Linked DNA regions of Callithrix jacchus. The protein of the gene in region 1 binds, or shares a complex with, the protein of each later gene. Links are inferred from orthologs where the notes say so. Each region holds a gene or a part of one and is shown on either strand. Other genes may lie near its edges. The genes, in order: XKR8 and BSG.

Evidence for each region.
Region 2: the proteins of XKR8 (region 1) and BSG are in contact, whole or in part, in a cryo-EM structure (PDB 7DCE), measured with the Homo sapiens proteins. The link is inferred for Callithrix jacchus from reciprocal best matches to the Homo sapiens genes XKR8 and BSG. Residues at the interface, in NP_060523.2 of Homo sapiens: His232, Leu236, Val239, Leu242, Trp243, Leu246, Gln247, Arg280, Gly283, Arg284, Ile287, Phe291, Ser294, Asp295, Leu298, Ala301, Thr302; in NP_001719.2 of Homo sapiens: Trp326, Pro327, Gly330, Ile331, Glu334, Val335, Leu338, Val339, Ile341, Ile342, Phe343, Tyr345, Glu346, Lys350.

Annotation. Positions count from the first base shown.
Region 1 is NC_133508.1:64,638,294-64,649,434, reverse strand, and holds the end of XKR8 (XK-related protein 8), read right to left. Parts: intron 9,280-11,141; coding exon 9,083-9,279; intron 5,683-9,082; coding exon 4,964-5,682; 3' UTR 2,379-4,963; downstream 1-2,378.
Region 2 is NC_133523.1:525,629-537,317, reverse strand, and holds the start of BSG (basigin), read right to left. Parts: upstream 5,919-11,689; 5' UTR 5,880-5,918; coding exon 5,813-5,879; intron 988-5,812; coding exon 640-987; intron 1-639.

The DNA.
Region 1 (11,141 bases):
TAATCCTGGGCCAGATGAAGAGCATCTCTCCACCTCTGGGAAGATTGGTGGGTGCCCAGGCACTAGTCACAGCCTTCTAGCCTAGCCCTCCAAGACCAATCTGGGCATCTGCTCAGGCAGGATAAAATTCCCTAGAGCTGAGGAAGTTCAGCCTCTCCCAGGCTGCACAGAGAGATGATATAAGCCCCTCAGATTGAGATGCAGGATTGGTCCTCAGAAGGAGGCATTGTTGACTAACCCCAGCTATAATTGCTTGTCGCCAGAGACTCTGCACACCCATTTCAAAGATACTGCAGCACAGAGGCAAGACTCCTTCCAATGCCAGGCCACCCAGATAGCAACAGAGAAAGGCTGGTATACACATTCCTTCAGACTCACTGAAAAGTGCTCATGACTCACCATTTTAAGGAGTAAGTTTTTGACGAGTAGCTGAAGTCAGTGCTCCTTTACCTAGCTGCCTCTTTGGCCTTGTTGCCTGTGGGGCTGGGAGGAGGGAGATGTAGTGTGAGGAAGGCCTTCCATTGGTCTGTATTCAGCAGAATTGCCTAGATACTGCTCTGACTTGTTTGATGATTGATCTTGGAAAGCTCTAGGTTTTACTCTGAGGCCTCCAGCCCTCCCGCTAATGCCAGTATAGCTGTTAGGTTTTTGTCCTGGACAGAGGCCACGAGTGTTGGTCCTGTGCTTCAGGTTTGTGAGGCTGTGGAGTGGTACCCCCACCATGCACACAAGCACACACACATATACTTCCCTCTCCATCCTTATGGGAGCTCTTTATTCTTAGAATATAACTTAGACTCACTTTTATCAATGGCCTTTTTCCTCTTGCCCTGACTTCCTAGCTTAGCTCTTTCCAAAAGGAACTTAAACTTGGCCAAGAGAGGTAAGGAGGCTGAACGGAGCAGTCTCTGCTCATTCCTAGTTGTTGCCACCCTTATTTAGACAGAAAACAGAAAACAGGAGCTTCTTGGCTCTTTGCCAAAATGAATTGTCAGGGAACACAGTGCGCGCGCTCGCTCTCTCTCTCTCTCTCTCTCTCTCTCTCTCTCTCTCTCATTACCCTTTTTCTCCTCTGCAACACAAAAATCTGGAAAAGAAAATAAGTGGGTAGGATTAAGAGCTGTTGGAAGGTGACGGCCAAAGGATACTGTGGGTCTAGTTGTCAAGGGGGAGCCCCTCTTCATTAGAAAGGGTTCCTCATGAAATTAGCCAAATGGTGAGTCCTTCCCCAACTGGGCACTATGGGTTCTATAAGATGGGTCTGTAATGTCACAGTAAGGGCTCTCTCTAGTAGATCTGGAGTGAGGTGTGTCTTGGGTTGAAGAGGTGGCTTGACTTTCGAATGTAAAACTGACTGTGCCTTAGCATCACCCTGTCCAGTGCCCCTGGGGCAGCTGGTAGTGTCCAGAAGAATGGACACCTGCTCCAGATTTAGATGCCTGTCTGAGCTTTTGTTTAATTTGAGGTGTTTCTGTCTTCTGTAAAGCTAGTGAGTTGTCCCAAGAGACTGATGCCACAGCTTGTTCGCAGTTTACACAAACTCAGCTTTAAAGCTCCAGATAGAATCTGATTGACAAACTCCAGCTGCAGCATATGGAGCTTCTAGATGTTCACAACCTTGAATGGGTGTCGGTGTCACTGAACCATGGGGGAGAGGAGTATGGGGTAGAGCAATGGTCTGGGCCAAGGAGTGGTGAGCTTAGGGTCTTCCTCTGAAACCTCACTCCTCTTCAAGGAGGCAGTTAGGGTCCCTCTTAAGCAGGCTTCTATTTCTTACCACTTAATTGGTTTCATTTTTCATCCAGAAGTTAGAAATCCCCAGATATTCACACTGTATGATCTGAATTTCAAGATTCTAAAATATCTTAAACCACAAGAGAAAATCTAGTTCTGCCTCGGCCCCAGTCAGCAGGCCATCTGTCCCTTCCTCTCCTCTGAGTCAGACAGCTCCGGAAAGCAAGGCTCCTTGGCTAGTTCCTAATGCACTGACAGGAGCCCTCCCATTAAGGACGACTTCTACTCAAAACAAGACTCTCCCTCTGGACTGCAGGTGCCTGTTAGCAGGAAAAGGCATTGATCGGATTGGATATATTTATGTGACTGCGGGCATTCGTGGCTGTAGAATCCATGACCATAATGTTATATAAACGTAATGGGAACTATCTTATAAACTTGAAAAAAATAAAGTTTTTATTTTCTATAGTTTGCTCCTGTGTCTTTTCTGAATAGGATCAGCCCAGTTGCCCAACTGTGAGGGTCCTAACTATGGCTTCCTAAAGGTTCTAAAGAGTTCATTGGAGAGATGTCACTCTTTGAGTAACTGTCATTTCACCGAAAAAAGCAAAACCATTTCGTATAAATATACACATGGGAAAATATTTTTAAATAATTTGCATGGGAGCATTTATTGTTTCTAAAACACTGCTTTTTAAAGTTTAGAACTGGAACAAGAAAAGATTTCATTCACTGCCAAATGTGCTGAATTTGAATTACTGAGAGAAATGAGTACCTTGCTATGCTGAGCTTAAACAGCAAAAGCAATAAAACTGATAAATTGATATCAGACCTCATTTGATTTGGCCTGATTTCATGTCACATCAACTACTTTTTCTCATTTCATTTGTCTGATTTGGGTCTGGCTGTACCCCACTGGTTTAGAAAACAGTCATGGAGCCTTTCTGCCTTTTAACCCAGTGCAGGAAATTAGAATTGGGTTCTAGCTTCCATGGAAGTACCATACACGTCAGACTATAAGATGTATTTTTCCAAAAATCCCTAGAAAAGACAAGGTTGCCTATTCTAGTAATTAAATGTTTTCCTCATTAGGTGCAGATTTGAACCACACATTAGTTGAAGCAAACCCGTTAGCTGCTATATCTTTACTCAGTTATAAGTAAAAATATTAGAGATACTGATTTCCAAGCACAGAGTAGATAAAACATCTCCATCTCCTCCTGCAATTAATGTCAGGCGTGTGTGTTTATATGTATTCTATTAGAAGAATGGTCCTTTGCTCTAAGATTGGTACCTCCTTTTATGAGATGATGAAAGTAAATGGTAGTTTTTAATGACCTTTTGTTAAAATTAAGTTGCAACCATGTTGGCCATTTTATAGGTTCATGATATTCAGAAGTCTGAAAATGTCTAGACAGGATGGTCTGCGGGATTCCTTCTGCCTCTATCCATTGTTTTTATGTAAAAGTCACCAGCATTGTCCTCACAGATCCTCTCCCTGCCCCCACCCTTCATCTCTGGGTCATCTTTCGCTCCAGGCCAACAGAGTGGCTACAAACACTTCATCCTGTGGAATTCCGTTTGCAACATTCCTTCCTTGACAGTGGTTCATGCCACCAGTGACTCCAGGTTCTGCTTCTCCTGACCCTGAGACACCCATCACTACTAACTGGCTTATTAGCTTTTCAGGAAGGCCTTCCCCAGCCATCCTATACAAAGTTGTAATTCCCACCCGCAAAACACAAATACCTACTCTCTCCCTAGCCCTTTCCCTTTTTCTTTTAGCACTTAACACTATGTAATATACTAAATGTTTTACTTATCCTGGTTTTTGTGTCTCCAGCAGAGTAACAGAACTGAAACTATCCTGAATCCCATCACAGTGGTGACTGGAACATTTTCTTCTCTATCTCAAGTGACTTTTCTGTCCCTTGTTTTTCCAAACCACAGACCTCCTATAGCAGCAAAAGACTCCACCTCCCTAGCACCATCACCCACCCACATCTACATCCCCTAAGCCACCTCATCACGTAACCTCTCAGAGCTCCCAGCAAAATGACCTTTCTTCACCAGGCTCTATGTTCACTTCTTGGCCCTAAATGTTTGTGGCCACTCCTGCTGGTCCCAGCAGCAGAGCTGGTGGTGAAGAGGATGCACTAAGTCAGCCCATATCTGGATTCTGATCCCCAGCTGAGCTGTCAACCCCACGCTGGTTCACCACCTCCTTAAACTTCAAAAACGAGGTTTAGAAGCCCCACCTGAGCCAGCCCTCTCTCTGTTCTGGAGGCCTTGACCGATTTTGAGAAGTAGATTTTATGTCCCTGACCTCCTCCAGTTCAGGCTCTGACCTCCATAGATTTTGTTTGATGATAACAGACTATGTTGGAGGAGTTCATGAGGCTTTAAAAACCAAATAATACTGTTAAACAAAAACAACACATCTGTCACTTGCAGAGACACACAGACACACACAGTCTCTTCCCTCACATAGACTGTGAGGTAGGAGGAACACTGGCTAAAGAATAAAAAATACTCAGTGGCTGTGCAAGGCCCAGAACACAGGCTCACAAGGCTCTTGGTTGAAAAGCAGCCCCTTGAGAGCAGAAGCAAGAGGCCAGGACAGCTTCACTGAGATCTTGGAGGTGGACTGGGATCACCCAGAGTTGGGCATCCCTAGCTTCCGGCATTTGAAATCTAACCCAGGACTGGTTGGTGCAGGTAGGACATGAAGCTAGGGTGGTAGCTGGTCTTGTTCCTGGCACATAAACTGCTCTTAGCAAAGATTTGTTTCATGAATTGAAAGAATGGTGTGGGGAAGGAAGGAAGAATTCTAGAGGACAGCCCCTGGGGGTGCTGTGGCCTTCTAGCCCAGGATAGGGCAGCACCTACATCAATTATTTTAGAGGTAGCCAGGGAGGTAGAAAGTTTTGGGGCACCAGCTATACCAACTGGCAGGGGGAAAAGAAAAGGTAGTCTTCTTTCCTCCCCAAGTGTCTTGTACCTAACTGGGGCTGTTGACCCTGCAGGGCCCAGCCCTTCTCATCTTGTTCTCTGTGAACTCCTTGAAGGCAGGCCTCTGCCCCACTCAGCAGCATCCCCGGTGCCTGGCCCAGGACAGGTATCCCACTCTTGCTGAGTGCATGGAGCCCACAGCAGCATCGTTAGCTTATCGCCTGCCTTCTGCCAGCGGAGTCACTGTCCATCTCTGCCAGCTGCATCTAATCCTGCTTCAAAGGATGCCGTTCACCTCTCCCTTCACTGGTGAAGCAGCCCCATCCTTAGCCTTGGGGAAAAAGTTCTGTGCTAACTGGATCATGCGCCTGTTCTGAGGCAGCTGATATCCCTCTGGGGAAAGTAGACTCCGGGCCCCATCCACTTGGTCAGGCTTAGGCTCCCAGCAGTGGCAGCTAGGGTGCAGCCAACGGTAGTACACAAGTCGCAGAGCCAGGCCCAGAAGGAAGCAGCCACCTCCCACAGACAGCCACAGCTGCAGTGGAATCTCGCTGGGCAGCCAGGAGCTATGAGTCATCCAGGTGGCCACCAGGAGAATACTGTCACTTAGGAGGAAGGCCAAGTGGATGGTGGCCCGGCCTCGGGTGTGGCCCTCAGCCACGTTGAACCAGGAGAAATAGAGGATGGTGGCCACCGTCACCCGGTACAGCCACTCAGAGCTGGCGTCTGGCATGAAGTCTGTGCCCTGAAGCCAGACCCAGAGCAGCAGCACCAGCCACAGGCCCAGGAAGTGCAGGGCCACATAGCTGGGGAAGAGGGCTGAGAACAGGGCCACAGCCAGGACTCGGGGCCACAGCAGCAGCAGGTTCCACAGGAAGTAGATCACGGAGGAGCCCCAACCCAGGAGGGGCTTGGAGGGAAGGCAGGTGCGCAAGGCCCGGTGGTAGTCAAGCAGTGCCCACGAGATGCCCAGGAAGGACGTGCAGATGCCAACCCCTGCAAAAAGTAGGCAGGAACAGTGAGTACTGGGGCCAGCCTGCTTGGCACTCCCCAGGGGTTGCAGGTACCATGGGGGCCCTCCCAGCAACCCTGCTGTGGGTATTAGAATCCCCCAATTGTTGAAGGCAAATCTTCAGCTGGAGATATCCCTCTGGGGAAAGTAGAGTCCCAGCGAGTTCCTATGACCAAAAATAAAGCTACAACTCCTAATATGGAACCAGCCCCTCATCACAGTGCTTTGCTGCTCAGGTGCGATTCAGGTATTTTTCAAAGATGACAGGGTATGACTTGTGGCTCCTCAGCACCCTGCATCCCTGGGCCTTGGCTGCACCCTGAGCATCTTCCAGGGCCCCATAACCCTTTCTTTCTGGGAAGAGCACAAGGCTTTCTTGTGTCTGAAAATCAGCAGTCTCAGTTCCCTCTTTCTTAGTCTCAAAAAAGGAGTGGAAAATCCCATGGGGTGGCAACAGCACTGGCTAAAGCTGCCCTCAGGGCCGGGAGAGACGTCCCTGCTGTGTAGACAGAAGGTCTCCCCACTCCCTTCCCCTCAAGACTAGAGGCCATCGGACCAACCCCTAGTCTTGATTTTCCAAGATCCAGAAGTTTACGACAGGGGTCCTAGGGTACTATCCCACCTCCTGGTCACCCATCCTGGAGCAGAAGCACAAGGACCTCCAGGGAGGGATGGAAGTGGCACCGGAACTGCTTCCTCCCCTATCCCCGTCCACTGCAGTCATTTGGCTGATCTTTACTGGGAGCCTATTATGTGCCCAGAACCCACTCCTTGCCTGGAATCAGATCTGTCCGTTACACTTGCCCAGGTCTCAGTATGGCTGATGTTCTTCCAATTTGCCCAGCATGCCACCTTCCGTGACCTTGACAAGCTTTGCCCAGGATGTTAGGTCACCACAAGCACATGCCCCATTTCCCTGGCCTACATTACTCTGCAAGCCCCAGCTTGAAGAGCCCTAGGTCACCCACCCTGACCCTACACCACTCACTCTGCTGTGTCAGGTATCCCTGTAACATGCCACCCACCTTGTCTGCAGCCTCATCACACAGTAATTATCTATTTCCTTATCTCTGAGCTCCTTGAGGGTAAAAAACAGACTCTGCTCACTTGGGATCCCCCAGCAGCCCAGTACCTGGCACTTAACAGCGGTGAAAGAGATGTTTGCTAAATAAAAAATAGAGAAAATCAGTCTGTCCCCCATACCCACTAGCATACACACAGTGCAGACTATCTGCACTTGGTCCTAGTTCTAAACACCCCCACCCTCAGCAGACAAAAACATGTGCCCAATGAGTGCCGAGCGACCCAGGGCAAGTCACTCACCTTTCTGCACCTCTAAAAATGGAGATCGAGGCCAGGAGCAGTGGCTCACACCTGTAATCCCAGCACTTTGGGAGGCCGAGGCAGGCGGATCACCTGAGGTTGAGAGTTCGACCAACAGAGAGAAACCCCGTCTATACTAAAAATATAAAATTAGCCGGTCATGGTGGCGCATGCCTGTAATCCCAGCTACTGGGGAGGCTGAGGCAGGAAAATCGCTTGAACCCGGGAGGCAGAGGTTGCGGTGAGCCGAGATCACGCCACTGCATTCCAGCCTGGGCAACAAGAGTAAAACTCCGACTCAAAAAAAAAAAATGGACATCAATATAGCACAGACCTACAGGGCTGCTGTGAACGTGAGCAAGGATGACTGTAGACGCTTCCCCTGGGCCTGGCTGATAACTGGCACTCGATTGTGATGGCTGCTATTACTGTTTTTTCAATCAGTATTATAGACTCAGACTAGCAAGATGAAAGGGCCCTTGGAGATCGAGTCTAACCCTCATCTTCCACAGGAAGGCTCTCCAGGACACACAGCGAGTGACAGTAGAGTAGGGACTGCTTCCTTGAGAGGCTGTGGCATTTACGGCAGCTATGGAGGAAGGCAAAGGGGAAGCCCTGGACCCTGAATCGGATATGAGTGGGGGCCCTATTTGCTTGGCTGTCTGGGTCTGTGAAAATGGGCAAGTCAGCTGAGCACGGTGGCTCGTGCCTGTAATCTCAGCACTTTGGGAGGCCAAGGCAGGTGGATCATGAGATCAGGAGTTCAAGACCAGCCTGGCCAAGATGGTGAAACCCCATCTCTACTAAAAATACAAAAATTAGCCGGGTGTAGTGGGTGACACCTGTAATCCTAGCTACTCGGGAGGCTGAGGCAGAGAATTGCTGAGGCAGAGGCGAACCTGGGAGGTGGAGGTTGCAGTGAGCTGAGAGTGCACCACTGCACTCCAGCAGGGACAACAGAGTGAGACTCCATCTCAAAGAAAAGGAAAATGGGCAAATCACTTTCCTTTTATGGGAAAAAACCCTCCCAAAGCTCCTCACTATAAACTTCACCCATACTTAGGGGCCCTGCGAGCCCCTGCCCCCTGCCCCCTGCCCCCTGCCCCCTGCCTCTCCCTTCTCCCGTCACTCAACATGTTGTACCACAGCTACTTGTGTTAGTCTATCATCCTGGCAGGGCAGGGGCTGGGTTCATCTTGTTTGCTGTGTCCCCAGCACAGTAACAGGCACAGAAGAGACGCACAATGAAAACCTGACTAGATGAAGGCTCTCAATATGTTGTTTGTTTGTTTGTTTTTTAATTTTGTTGAGATGAGGGCTCACTATGTTGCCCAGGATGGTCTCGAACTCTGGCCTCCAGCGACCGGTGTGCCTCAGCCTCCCAACATGTTCAATTGTTTCTTAACTAAAAAGTTACCTACTCTGTATCAGGCACCTTACACACTTTATCTCTGTTATCTTCAAAATTGTAAAAATCACAATTAAGATTTGTGGGCCAGACACAGTGGCCGACATGTGTAATCCCATCACCTTGGGAGGCTGAGGCAGGAGGATTACTTCATCTCAGGAGTTCAAGACCAGCCTGGGTAACAAAGTGGGACCTCGTCTCTACAAAAAAGAAATTAAAAATTAGCCAGCATAGTGACACACGCCTGCAGTCCCTGCTATTCGAGTGGCTGAGACAGGAGGATCACTTGAGCTTGAGAGGTCAAGGCTGCAGTGAGCCGTGATGAGGCCACTGTACTCCAGTACTGGCCATGACAGTGAGACTCCGTACCAGGAACTTACGTACCAGGAAATGGGCCTTCTTTGCATCACCTCACTTAATCCTTTCATCAGCCTTATGAGGCAGGACTATTTATATCAATTTTTCAGATGAGAACAAACATACTCAAAGAGGTCAAGGCATTTGACTTGAGGTTTCAAGCCAGATCTGCCTGACTAAAGCCTGTTCTCCTGTTTCTAAGCAGCCTTTATAAAAGAGTAAAAACAGCTCCAACATTTGAGGGAGACCCCTGCCCCAAGCTATGAAAGGTGGACCAGCCACTGGCCTTCACTCACACTGGTAGCACTCAGCCTGGCCGCTCTGCAGTATGATGGCCAGCACCAGCGTGAGCTGTGGTGTTGTTTCCAAGAAGGTCTCGAAGAGCCGCAGCATGCTGATGTCCAGGGAGAGGAAGTCCGTGTAGGCCAAGTCAAACTCAGAGGGCTCCTCCTGCCGCCACACCAGCAGCCCCTGCTGCAGCCCCTGCATGCACCTAGGCAGCACACACAGATGCCCAGAGGGCCAGGTTAGTATCCTGTGAAGTCCTCGGCCTCCCACCCATCTAATGAATGTACACAGGCTCCAACCCGGCTCCTTGCACCCATGCTATGGGGCCTTCGGCAGTGTTCTAACCTCACTGAACTTGTTTAATCTGTAAAATGGGGATTCACACACCTTCTACTCCTGCTGGCCAGGCGCTGTCCCAAGCTCATCACAAACCTTGTCCTGTTTACTTCTCACAAGAACCCATTTTACAATGGGAAAACAGAATCAAGAAGCTAATAAGGGCTGGGTGCAGTGGCTCACGCCTATAATCCCAACACTTTGAGAGGCCAAGGCAAGAGGATCACTGGAGGCCAAGAGTTTGAGATTAGCCTGGGCAACACAGCAAGCCCCATCTTACCAAGAATTTTTTTTTAATCAGTTGGGCATGGTTGTGCGAGCCTGTAGTCCAAGCTACTTAGGAGGCTGACATAGGAGGATCACTTGAGCCCAGAAGTTCAAGGCCACTGTGAGCCATGATTGTGCCACTGCATTCCAGCCTGGGCAACAGAGACCTTGCCTCTTTTTTCTTTTTTCCGAGTTGGAGTCTGCTTCTGTTACCTGTTGCCCAGGCTGAAGTGCAGTGGCACAAACTTGGCTCACTGTAACCTCTACCTCCCAGATTCAAGCAGTTCTCCTGCCTCAACTTCCTGAGTAGCTGGGATGTTGGGATTACAGGCGTGCGCCACTATACCTGGCTAATTTTTGTATTTCTAGTAGAAATGAGCTTTTGCCATATTCAGCAGGCTTGTCTCGAACTCCCGACCTCAAATGCTCCCCCACCTCAGCCTCCCAGACTGTTGGGATCACAGGCATGAGCCACCATGCCTGGCTAGACCCTACCTCTTTAAAAAAAATTCTCTTTGTGTAGTCTGAAAAAAAAAATTATAAGCAGCTAATAAGTACTGGAATGAGGACTTGGATCCAAATGGAAAGGCGTGCTATAAAGTTGCCTGAGGCAGTTCTCAAACTTTAGTGTGCCCAAGATCTCCTGGGATCCTGTGGGCAAGAGGAGCTGCTGGGCACTTCTGCGTACAGACCAGATGGGGTCAGAATGCCTTACCCTGGCCACACAGGGGAGGAGCTGGAGAGGGTTAGAATGGAAGGAGGTATCCCATTTAAGAGGCTGGCCCTGAGTGGTTAAGGATGGAGATTGGGGCAGAGTTAAGAGAGTGCAGAGGTTGGACAGACAGCTTGAGGTACCCACTGGCACGAAGAGTAAGTGGAGGATGCACCAAGGACCATCCACTCAGAACTTTGCTCTAGGTTGCCTATTGGGAGGGAACCCCGTTGACTCATCACAAGCTCACTCACCAGACATTTGCTGTCACCTCCCTGGACAAACCAGACAGAGCACACTGAGGAGCAGGCAGGCGGGGCAGACTGGGGCTCTCCCTCAGCAGAGAGGTTCCCCAGTGGCCTGGCACGGGCCCCTGCCTCAGCCTAGTCACAGGTAGAAACAGAACCCCTGTTTCCAAAGCCAAAGCCAGTAGAGTCTGTCTGACTCAAGCTCAGCAGAAATCCGGGCGGCAAAGATGCATGAGGTTGTGCAGGATTGAGGGCTCATCCGGCCTGCCCAGGACTTAACAACTGCATCCCTTCATGCCCACCCAGGGTTTTCTGATGTCTCTACAATCCCTCAGGCAAAAACTGCCACATTCAAAGCTCCTCTCCTCTACTCCTGGAGACCCCATGCAGCTTTGTCAAGGCAAGATCTCAAGACTTGGTAAAAACAGATTCAAGAGCAGATCCTGACCCAGCCACCCTATCCCAACCGACACACCCTATGCCCTGGCTTCATCGCATGCCTCT
Region 2 (11,689 bases), on another chromosome or scaffold:
GAAAAAAACAGCCAAATCGCCCCCCGGCCAAGGCTGCCTCCCTGGCCAAGGCTGCCTCCTTCGACGGCCCCTCAGATGCCCGCTGGTGGAGACCTGCCCCTGGATGGGGCTCCCAGGTGACCCCATCCACCCGATTCCAGGCTGACGGCACTGCAGCACTGGGAGCACCCGGTTCTCCTGCCAATCCCCATCGAGCAAATCTCTTGGTTAATTTACAATGTTCCGGTTAGGACTGAATGTGAAAATCCCTTAGGACGAGACGCTGAGCAGGACACAGAAGGTTCTGAGGGCAGCAAGCCTGGACTGAGGCTGGAGGGCCCCTCAGGCTGGCAGTGTGGACAGACACTCAGGAAAGGAGCCAGGCAGGCGCCCGGGGGAGCAGAGAGGGACGGCGGCACAGACAGTGCAGGGTCGAGGGAGGACAAGGACCCACCTGCTGGAAGGCAGAGCTCTGCCCGCCCCAAGCCAGGTCGCCCAGCGCTGGCGGTCAAGGGCGAGTCCACCCCTTCAGGTCTGGGCCCCCCTGTCCCAGTGGTGGGCCCAGCAGGGCAGAGAGGGGCAGGAGGCGTCTGGGTTCTATCAGCAGGAGCGGCACAGGAGGGAACCAGGGAGGCGGGGAGGGAGGCGCCCGCCACTCACGTTGCAGGACTAGCACCACCGCCTGGGCGCGGACCCACTTGACCCTGGGCGCCCGGGTCAGGTGGTTGCGGTCCGGGTCGTTGCTGGCCCGGCACTCGTAGGTGCCCGAGTCCTCCTCTGCGAGCGTGTCGATGGAGATGGTGCTGGCTGCGTGCTGGCGGTAGGTGGCGTGGATGTGGACGCGGTTCAGCCGGGCGCCGTCCCAGAGCTGGGAGCAGGTGTCGTTGGGACCGTGCCCCTCAAACCACCACTGGATCTCCGGCACTGGGCTGCCCACAGCCTCACAGTGCAGCTCCACACGGCCCCCCACCCGCCTCTGCTGGGACAGTGGCGCCCGCACAAAGCCAGCTGCAGGGAGAGCGGGCGCGGAGCCTCGTTAGTGCCGCCCTGGGGAAGGCCTCGCCCACAGGACTCCTGGCCAGGGCTGGGGGGAAGCTGCTTCCTTTCGGCTTGTGGGAGAGTGACGGGGCTGGGCTGCCAAAGGGCAGCGCATGAGAAAGACCGTGGGAGCCACCGTGGACGCCCCCCTGACTCCCACCCTCCCAGCAGACACACTGGCTTCTGATGGCATAAATGAGGAACCACACGTAGCTTAAAACACAAAACCCATGAAACTGGGCAGAACAGCCAGGAATTTAAGCCCCAAGGGCCTCTCTGTCAGAGGACTGTGGGCATGGCTGCCCCAACTTCCAGACTGCCGGTCCCCAGGGCAGCATCCTCTGCCTTCTGCCCGATACCCTGACCCGAGAGATCCGGTGAGCTGCAGAGAAAATAAAATCCCAAAGCCCACAGGGGCAGGGGGCTCTGTCCAGGAGGCCCCACTCAGGCTGTTAGGACGGCCTGCGGGTGGAAAGTGCTTGTGTCCTCAGCAATCTCAGGGCAGCCACCCAGAGAAGAGGATTTGGGAAGACGGAGCCGGCAGTGCCTCAGGGACCGTTACCACTGGCCCACCACCACTCCTCCCTTCAAAACAGAAGGGAAGGCCCCGGAGCTGAAAGGAGCACAGGAGAATCCACACGCACCCTCCCACTGTGCCTGGCACCCGCCTGCCAGGAACTGCCCTGCCCTGGGGAAGCACGGGGAGCAGGCGCGGGGACTGTGCAGCCCTTCCCTAGAACATCCAGGGTAAACATGCCTCGCCCACCTGCGCCACCTCCTGCCAGGACCGTGCAGCCCGTCTTAGAACACTCAGAGGAAGTGGGGAATGGGCGCACCCCACCCACCTGCAACTCCTGCCAGGACTGTGCAGCCCCTCCTAGAATGCCCTCTGAGGTCAGGCTCCCAGACACCGCTATAACATATGCATTCAAGGACACACGTCCGCAGACACACACCACACAGGCACACACACATGCTCACAGCTCTGAGACTGCATAGCAGTGCACATGTCATGGGCCCCAAGGCCCCAGGGACAGGGGATGTTCACAGCTGACCCCCTGAGGTGAACTCCAGGCAGGAGCAATTAACAACGTTTGGCAGTGCCACTTTCACAAAGGGTCCCCTCCTGGTAACCTACATTTCCCAGACTGCAAAACAGCAGCGACGTGCAGAGCCTGGCGAGGCGAGTCAGGGCAGGAAGTGCAGCCAGAGGCAGCCCGGCTGGCAAGCTCCTTCCGGCCCCACAGTGGCCCCCTCCTTCTCCTCCTCCTCCTCCTCCTAAGGCCCTGCGAAGCTGCCCTCCACATCCTCCTCACTGTCCTCACCCGGGGTGCTAAGGCAGGGCTGGCTCCTGAGTCAACACACCCCACCTTCAGGCAGGGCAGGGCCAGGGCACGGGGCAGAGCAGAGGAGCTGGAGGCCTGCAGCCAACCTGCCCCCACCCACCTTCCCCCCAGGCCCTGAAGAGGCCCCTGTGATCCAGCCTCCAGCCTCGGGAATACCCAGGCGTCCTGTGGGAAACCGAGCCAGCCTGTGCCTCGAAGTCCAAGGCTCTGAGGGGCCGTCTGCACCGGTGACCGTGCTGCAACTGGGTCCTCCACCTTCTCAGCGGGTGGACGGCATCACTCCCAAAGGGACCAAAAGGCTCTGGACAGAACAACCGCCCGTGGGCCCTCCGTTTGCTGATGGCGCTGGTGTCTGTTCTGAAGTGCCACTAGTGTGGGCCACAGGAGGAGAAAGCCTCCATAGAGGCTCCTGGGTACGCTGGAGAGCCCCCCACCCCACCGGGCAACCCGCCCTCCATGCCAGGAGCCTCCACTCAGGAGCACTAGGAGGAGGGGCAGTGCCTGACTCTCAGCCACAGGCCCCAGAAAGGTGAGCATTCGATTCTGGCCACATGACCCATAACCCATGTTCTCAAGTAAAGTCACCTTCATCTAAAAACAGCCACCGCCTCCTTGCCCACTCGGCAGCCAGGCTGGGGCTCAGGGCCAGGCAGGCCTCGTGGTACACAAGCAGCCCCACAGGATAAGGCCGGCCGCCCGCCCCCATCCGCCCTCCTCCCCACCCACTGCAGCACTCTGACAGAAGCCAGAGAAAACAGCTCTGGGAGGCGTCTGCGGGCACCTCCCTCCCCACCCCACCTGCTGCAGCCAGGCACTCCCACTCCTCCCATAGGAGGCTCAGGGGTGAAGCCCTCTGCCCTTGGGACCCAGCCGGCACACTGGGGCCCTCCAGTCTGACAAGCCCACAGGAGCTATAGATGGCCAACCTCAGGCACTTGCCCCACCCAAGCCCCCAGAGGCCCCTGAAGCAAGGTTCAGGAGACGCAAACAGGGTCACGAATACACAGAGCAAACATCAGTGTCCACCCCACGCAGGACACAAGGCTGTGTAGCCCAGACCTTCGGGTCTTCAGGAGTCAGTCCCCAGCAAAGGTGGCGTTTGTTAAAAGCACAGAGACGCTCCGAGGACGGGGACCCACGTCCCATCCCCCACACGTGTGCTCAAGCAAACACACACACCCAAACACACGAGAACACACTTGCACACACGCACACCTGCACAGCAGCGCTCCCGGCATCACAGACTCCACCTGCTTCCCAGGCTGCAGCTCTGGCCAGTAAGCCCCATGCTAAGCTTTCTGCTGAGGACAAGCGATTCTCAGTCTTGAGCACCAGAGGAACAAAACCGTGAACCACCCTACCCAGCAGGGAGAGACCAAAGGTCTTTCACCCACTTGGCTGTCAAATTAGCTCAACGTAGGAACCTCCTGTTGTGCTTGAAAACCAGTCAAGCCTGGCTGGCTCCCGACACTGAGGCCGTTTGCACAGGGCTGGGGTGGACTTATCTCCAGCCTTCACCTCCCCAGTGGGCTCCTATCTGTCTCCCCAGAGAGCTGGCCAGGGTGCTGAGGCCAGGCCCTTACCCAGGAGGCATTCGATAAACGGCCACTTTGGTGAGGATGAAATCTCAGAAGTGGGTCAGGAGTTCGCTGGCAAAGCCTCTACAACAGGGAGCCCCTCCCCAGCCCCTGCCCAAGGCCCCTACAGCTCAATGCCCAGGACAGCGGCTCAGAGCACTGGTTCTTGACCCTTCAGGAGCCCAGATCCTCCGGCTCTGCACCTTGTTCCCAACACTTCGGTCACTATAAATCTTTTTTTTTCTTTTCTTTTCTTGAGAGAGTCTCGCTCTGTCGCCCAGGTTGGAGTGTACTGGCCCAATCTCCACTCACCACAACCTCTGCCTCAAGTGATTCTCCTGCCTCAGCCTCCCGAGTAGCTGGGATTACAGGCGTGCACCACCACACCCAACTAATTTTGTATTTTTAGTAGAGACAAGATTTCTCCATGTTAATCAGGTTGGTCCCAAACTTCTGACCTCAGGTGATCCGCCTGCCTTGGCCTCCCAAAGCGCTGAGATTATAGGCGTGAGTCACCTCGCCCAGCTTAGGTTTTGTAACAGAGACAGGGTTTCACCCTACTGGCCAGGATGGTCTCGATCTCTTGACCTCGTGATCCACCCGCCTAAGCCTTCCAAAGTGCAGGCATTACAGGCGTGAGCCACCGAGCCCAGCCGGTCACTGTAAGTCTTTATAACCCAGAACCAAATGAGGAACTCAGTAAAGGAAGCCAGTCTGCCCCCACAAGCAAGAATGGCTGTCGTGCTTTTCTCCTGGAAAATCACACCTCGATCCGTTTCCCAAGTACACTCTCCAAACCACGTCTGCCCACCCCCAGCACAGGGCCCCCTCCTGCCAACAGCACTGAAAACCGAATGCCCTGTCAGACTCTGCTAGAAACGACTTTCTCACTGTTTCCTGCGCTCCCTGTGACCTTGGAACATGAGCTCCCCACAGGCCTCAGTTTCCTCGCCTGTGACACGAGGAGGGGCATCCAGAGACCACCTCCTCGTGTGTCCTGAAGCCAGGCGCCTCTGGAGGGAGGCTCTGCGTTCCGTTCCAGGCAGGGCCCCTCGAGGGAGCAGCCTGCCAGGGCTTAAGAGTGCGGGAGAGCACCCGGGGGCAGGTGCACACCCGAGGCAGCAGGCCAGGGCCAAATCCCGCGAAGAACGATAATCCCTTCCCGATCCCGAGGGCTGACCCGCTCAGGGCCTCCGCGTGCACTTGGAGGAGAAAAGCCCCTTTTCCAGATGAGGACGCCAAGATGACCGCTCCAGGCAGCACGGGCCCTGCGGGGGTCCCGGAGCGTCCCAGAGTCGGGGGGGCGGGGGTCTCTGACCCTAACGCTCCCAGGCGAGGGGGGGGGTCCAGTCCCCGCAGGACGGGTCGGGCAGGCACCAGCCCAGCCCCTGACCCCTGGCTCCAGGCCAAAGGGGGCGCTCACCGAAGCTCTGTCCGGTGGGACGGGGGTTAGGGCACCTGCAACCCGCTTCGCGACCGCCCTGACCCGGGGTGACGCGAGATCCTCCACCGCCGCCGGGGAGCGGCCGCCGAGAAGCAGGACGCTCTGTCCCCAGACCGAGACCGGCCGGGCCAGGACCCCCCCCAGCTCCCTAACCCCAACCCCAAGCAAGCGGCTTCACGCCCACACGGAGGCCCAGGAGCCGGGCGAGCAGCCCCGGGAGGACCCCCAGCTCCCCTCAAACGCTGGGACTTCACCGCCAGACTCCAAGCTGCCGCGGGAAACCTCCGGGGCCGGCCTTTCGTTCCCCGGGCCGCCCCGCGCCGAGGCCCAGGCTCCCGTGGGCCTCGGGTCCGCACCTCAGCCTCCACCCGCAGCCTCCATTCCCGGCCCCCGCCGGCCCGCACCCCCGCCCCTCGCCAACTCCTCACCAGCCCCGGAGGCTCCGTCGACGCCCAGCAGCGCGAACCCCAGCAGCACGAGCCGCGCGGCCGCCATGATGTCCCGTCCCCGCCAGCACCGTCGCGACCAACTGCCGCCGCCGCCGCCCGCGGCCGCTATAAGAACCCGCGGGGGGGGGGGGGGGGGAGGAGGTGCGGGCCGAGCGCGCGCACGCACGGCGGCGTCGCAGGGGCGGGGCGCGCGCGGGGCATGCCGGTCGCTATACCTGCGCACGCGCGCACGCACACGCGCTAGCTCCCGCAAGCTCCAGCTACGGAAGCCGGCCGGCGGCGCAGGGGACGCGACGTTGCTAAGAAACGGGAGGGGCCTAAGGGACGCGCCTGGAGCATGCGCATTTCTTCCTCCCTGCTTTGAAAGTTTAGAGGGCAGGGCGGTGCGCTCGAGGGGGTTGAAACCTTAAAAGGGTATTACCCAGATTTTATCGAAATGAACCCCCAGCTGGCCGCTGTGGCTCACGTCTGTAATCCCAGAGCCCTGGGAAGCCAATGCAGGCGGAGCAGGAGGTCAAGAGATCGAGACCATCCTCACCAACGTGGTGAAACCCCGTCTCTATTTTTTTTTTTTTAATTAAAAAAAAAAAAAAAAAAAATTTGAATCTGAATCTTAGAAAAATGAATAATTTGTTTGTATAAACGTCTCTCCACCATCTGGGCATAGTTATATAAATAAAGTGGTTGCTTTTGGGAGGCAGAGGCGGGCGGATCACCTGAGGTCAGGAGTTCGAGACCGGCCTAGCCAACATGGAGAAACCCTGTCTCTACTAAAAATACAAAAAGTAGCGGGGTCTGATGGTGGATGCCTGTAATCCCAGGAGGCGGCGGTTACAGTGAGCCCAGACTGTGTCACTGCACTCCAGCCTGGGCGACAGAGCGAGACCTGTCTCAAAAAACAAACAGCTGGGTGCGGTGACGCATGCCTGTAGACCCAGCTACTCGGGAGGCTGAGGCTGGAGGATGGCTTGAGCCCAGGAGTTCTGGGCGGTAGTGTGCTATGACGATTGGGTGTCCGTGCTAAGTTCAGCATCAATATGGTGACCTCCCGGGAGCAAGGAACCACCAGGTTGCCTAAGGAGGGGTGAACCGGCCCAGGCTGAAGCAGAGCAGGTCAAAACTCCCGTGCTGATCAGTAGTGGGATCGTGCCTGTGAATAGCCACTGCACTCCAGCCTGGGCAACATAGAGACTCCGTCTCAAAAAACTAAATAAATAAATTAAGGGAAAAAAGGCCACAGAGTGTGTAATCACGTTTCTATGAAAAGTCCAGGACAGGCTGGGCGCGGTGGCTCACGCCTGTAATCCCAGCACTTTGGGAGGCCGAGGCGGGTGGATCACGAGGTCAAGAGATCGAGACCATCCCGGTCAACAAGGTGAAACCCCGTCTCTACTAAAAATACAAAAAATTAGCCGGGCGTGGTGGCGCGTGCCTGTAATCCCAGCTACTCGGGAGGCTGAGGCAGGAGAATTGCCTGAACCCAGGAGGCGGAGGTTGCAGTGAGCCGAGATCGTGCCATTGCACTCCAGCCTGGGCAACAAGAGCGAAACTCCGTCTCAAAAAAAAAAAACCAAAAAAATAAAATAAAATTAATAAATAAAACTATGGTATGTGGGTAACTGAGGGACCAGCATAGGGTGGGCAGGGGTGGAGAAACTCCATCCAGGGAGGTGGCTGGACCCAGCCAGGGCAGGAAGATGCTGGACAGAGTGGGGGAGGGGGGGGAAACAGAGGCCCAGGACTTGTGATAAAGGGGGCTGGGGCTAAGGGCTTCACTCTGGGAGACCCCCTCCTAGGGGTGACTAACAATTGGGAGACTCAGAACTGCCCAGCACCAAAGAGCTCCCGCCTGGCAGCAGGCTTGGAAGGTCCTCCCTGGGGGTCTGAAGCTACGTGCGGAATGAGGACAGACTGCGGACGAGGCCCAGCAGGGCCAGCTGGCTTCAAAGCCCCTCCAGGGCTGTAAACAGGCACGGGGCCTGGCCCAACGCCTGCCCCCTCCTGAGCCCTCCCTGGCAAGGCGCCAGTCTGGCCCCAGGTCAGGTCTGGAAACTTGGTCATTGTTTACAAAATAAAGCCTGTGACTGATTTGAGACTTGAAGACCCCATTTTCTGGTCCTTTCCCTGGAAAGCCATTTCTGACCCACAGGCAGAGCCAGAAACTCCCCCTGCCCCCCACCCCCCCAAAGATTCTCCTGCCTCAGCCTCCGGAGTAGCTGGGATTACAGGAACCTGCCACCAGGCCCCGCTAATTTTTGTATTTTTAGTAGAAATGGGGTTTCGCCATCTTGGCCAGGCTGGTCTCGAACTCCTGACCTCAAGCGATCCACCCGCCTCGGCCTCTCAAAGTGCTGGGATTACTGGCGTGAGCCACCGCGCCCGGTCCCAGTTAATTTAAATCTCAGATTTTGAAAAGGCAGTGGGTTTTTTTTTTTTTTTTTTTGGTTGTTATGCATTAGTGTAAGTATATCCCAGATGCTGCATGGGATATACTTATACTAAACGTTATCTGTTGCATATTGGAAACTCAAGTGTAACTGGGCGGCCTGGATTTCGGCCGCCTCCCCCACCTGGCGGCGAGCCCCCCCCCCGCCACTCCCCTTGTCTCCTCTGCCCCTGCTGGCCCTCCGGGTGCCCTGAATTGGCGGCGGGTAGGTGAAGGCCCAGGATGCTCACTGGTCCTCCCGCCTCTGCCCTGAGGCTTGGAGCTTCTCTGGGAGGGAGATTTCGGATCTGGACCTCTTTCTCAAGCAGAAGTGTGACGAGGGCCACTCTTTTCTCCATCCGGCCTCACTCTTCAGCTCTGCCCTGAAGGGAGATGCCTGCCCTGGTTACAGCCGGCCGGACACAGTGGCTCGCCGGTAATCCCGGCTCTTTGGGAGGCTGAGGCAGGTGGATCACCTGAGACCAGCCTGGCCAAGGTGGCAAAACCCCATCTGCACTAAAAATACAAAACGTAGCCGGGCACGGTGGCACGTGCCCGTAGTCCCAGCTACTCGGGAGGCTGAGGCAGGAGAATCTCTTGAACCCGGGAGGTGGAGGTTGCAGTGAGCTGAGATCGTGCCACTGCACTCCAGCCTGGCTAGAGAGTGAGATTTCGGCGGGGAGGGGAGCCCAAAGCTCCTCCTGCTTTGTTCCAGCAGTCAGACTCCTCCCGGCCTCCCTCAGGCCCGGCCCCACCACCTCTGTGGGCCCTCCGTCCGCAGTCTTTTTCCGTTATTTGTTTCAGAGGGAGTCTTCCCCGGTCACCCAGGCTGGAGTGCAGGGGCGCGATCTCAGCTCACTACAACCTCCGCCTCCCGGGTTCAAGCCGTTCTCCCGCCTCGGCCTCCCGAGTAGCTGGGATTACAGGCACGCGCCACCGCGCCCGGCTAATTTTTGTCTTTTTAGTGGAGACGGAGTCTCGCCATGTTGGCCAGGCTGGTCTCAAACTCCTGACTTCAAGTGATCCACCTGCCTCGACCTCCCAAAGTGCTGATATGACAGGCGCAGGCCACCTCGCCCAACCCTTAATTAAATGTTTTTTTTTTTTTTTTTGCTTTGAGACTCTTGCGCTGTCTGCCAGGCTGGAGTGCAGTGGCACAATCATGGCTCCCTGCAGCCTCGACCTCCTGGGCTCAAGCCAGCCTCCCACCTCATCCGCAGGGTAGCTGGGACCGTGGCCGGGAGCCACCACGCTGGGCTACTTTTTATGTTGTTTTTGGTAGAGCTAGAGCCTCGAATTGCACAGGCCAATCTCAAACTCCAGGGCGACAAGGGTCGGCCTCAGCCTCCCGAGGTGCCCAGCCCCATCCTGAATTTTTCCCTTGCATTTTTCTGAGGGGCTTGGCTTTGAATTCCAGCCACTTTCCAGGCGGTTGAGACACTCCCCAGTGATTGGTGGGAGGAGTGCGGGTTTCGCCCTAAGGGCACTGTATGGGTCCCCACGTGACTGACTGGTGTCCAGGAGGAGGCAGCGGCCAAGGTCAGGAACCCAGACCGGGAGGGCCGAGGCCGGGGAGAGGTCAGTCCATGCAGAGATGGGTGTGGCGGGCAGGACGGCGACCCCCAAACGGTGTGACGCCGAGAACCTGCGAATGTGGCCCTGTTTAGAAAAAGGGGCCTTTACGAGGCCGGGCGTGGTGACTCACACCTGCAATCTGGGCCCTTTGGGAGGTCGAGGTGGGTGGATTACTTGAGGTCAGGAGTTCAAGACCAGCCTGAACAACATGGCAAATGAACTCCATCTCTACTAAAAATAAAAAATTAGCTGGGCATCGTGGCGCATACCTGTAATCCCAGCTACTCGGGAGGCTGAGGCAGGAGAATCGCTTGAACCTGGGAGGCGGAGGTGGCGGTGAGCCGGGATGGCGTCATTGCACTCCAGCCTGGGCAACAAGTGTGAAAATCCATCTCAAAAGAAGAAAAAAGAGAAAGGGCCTTTGCAGACGTGGCTGAGTGGGGTCCTGAGAGGGACCATCCGGGTTGCCCAGGTGACATGGGTTCTTGCCAGAGGGGAAAAGAACCCAGGGGAGGCCCCCGGTACGTGCAGGCAGACACTGGAGTGATGGGGGGACTGGAGTTCCCAAAGCTGGGAGGGTCCTCCTTGCAGGAAGGGTCCTCCCGAGACTCCCGAGGGAGCCAAGTCTCACCCAATCTTGACTTCGGATTTCTGGGCCCCAGAACTGAGTGAGAACCAATTCCTGATTCGTTTTGCAGCTGAGGAGACCCCCTCCTGTGGGGAGGAGCTGGGATGATGGATTCCACACCTCCCTGGTGATGGAATGATGGGGGGGGTGCGCCGAGGGTGGACGTGGGGGTTGGGGGGCCCTTCTTGGGGCAGGCCGGGTGGGCTGGAGTCCAGATGACCCCTGGAAGCAGGAGGCCGGGCCATCTGCCCAGCCAGCCAGGCACCGGGCTGGGCTTTACGGCCGGGCGCGCCAGGACAGAGGGAGCCGCCTTGCAGGGTTTGCAGGGGCAGCTGCCCTCTCTCCTCCGTGGCTCCTCCCCAGGCCAGCTGGTATTTTCCCGGAAAAATGAGGATTTCTACACATGGACCTGAGGCCTCCATAATCATTCTCCCCGAAACTTGTGGCCGCAGGCACGTGGCTCCTGTCTCCACGGGAGTCTGAAAACGGAACCTTTCCCCTGAGCCAACAGACAGGCCGTCCGAAAGATGAAAATAAGGCAAAAACACAAATATCAAAAAGAGGTAACTCGGTCTTCCAGGCGTCGCCAGCCGACCTCGCGTGTGTCGTTGCTGTTACCGTGAATGACTTAGAAACCTGCCTCTCCTGGTTTTTGTTTTTTCTTTCTTTTTTTTTTTTTTTTTGAGACGGAGTTTCGCTCTTGTTACCCAGGCTGGAGTGCAATGGCGCGATCTCGGCTCACCGCAACCTCCGCCTCCTGGGTTCAGGCAATTCTCCTGCCTCAGCCTCCCAAGTCACTGAGATTACAAGCACATGCCACCACACCTGGCTAATTATTTTGTACTTTTAGTAGAGACAGGGTTTCACTATGTTGGCCAGGCTGGTTTTGAACTTCTGAAATCATGATCGGCCCACCTCGGCCTCTCAAAGTGCTGGGATTACAGCTGTGAGTCACTGTGCCCGGCAACCCTATCTAAAAAAAAAAAAAAATGAATGGCCAGGCGCGGTGGCTCACGCCTGTCATCCCAGCACTTTGGGAGGCCGAGGCGGGTGGATCACGAGGTCAAGAGATGGAGACCATCCTGGTCAACAAGGTGAAACCCCATCTCTACTAAAAATACAAAAATTAGCTGGGCACGGTGGTGCGTGCCTGTAATCCCAGCTACTCGGGAGGCTGAGGCAGGAGAATTGCCTGAACCCAGGAGGCGGAGGTTGCCGTGAGTCGAGA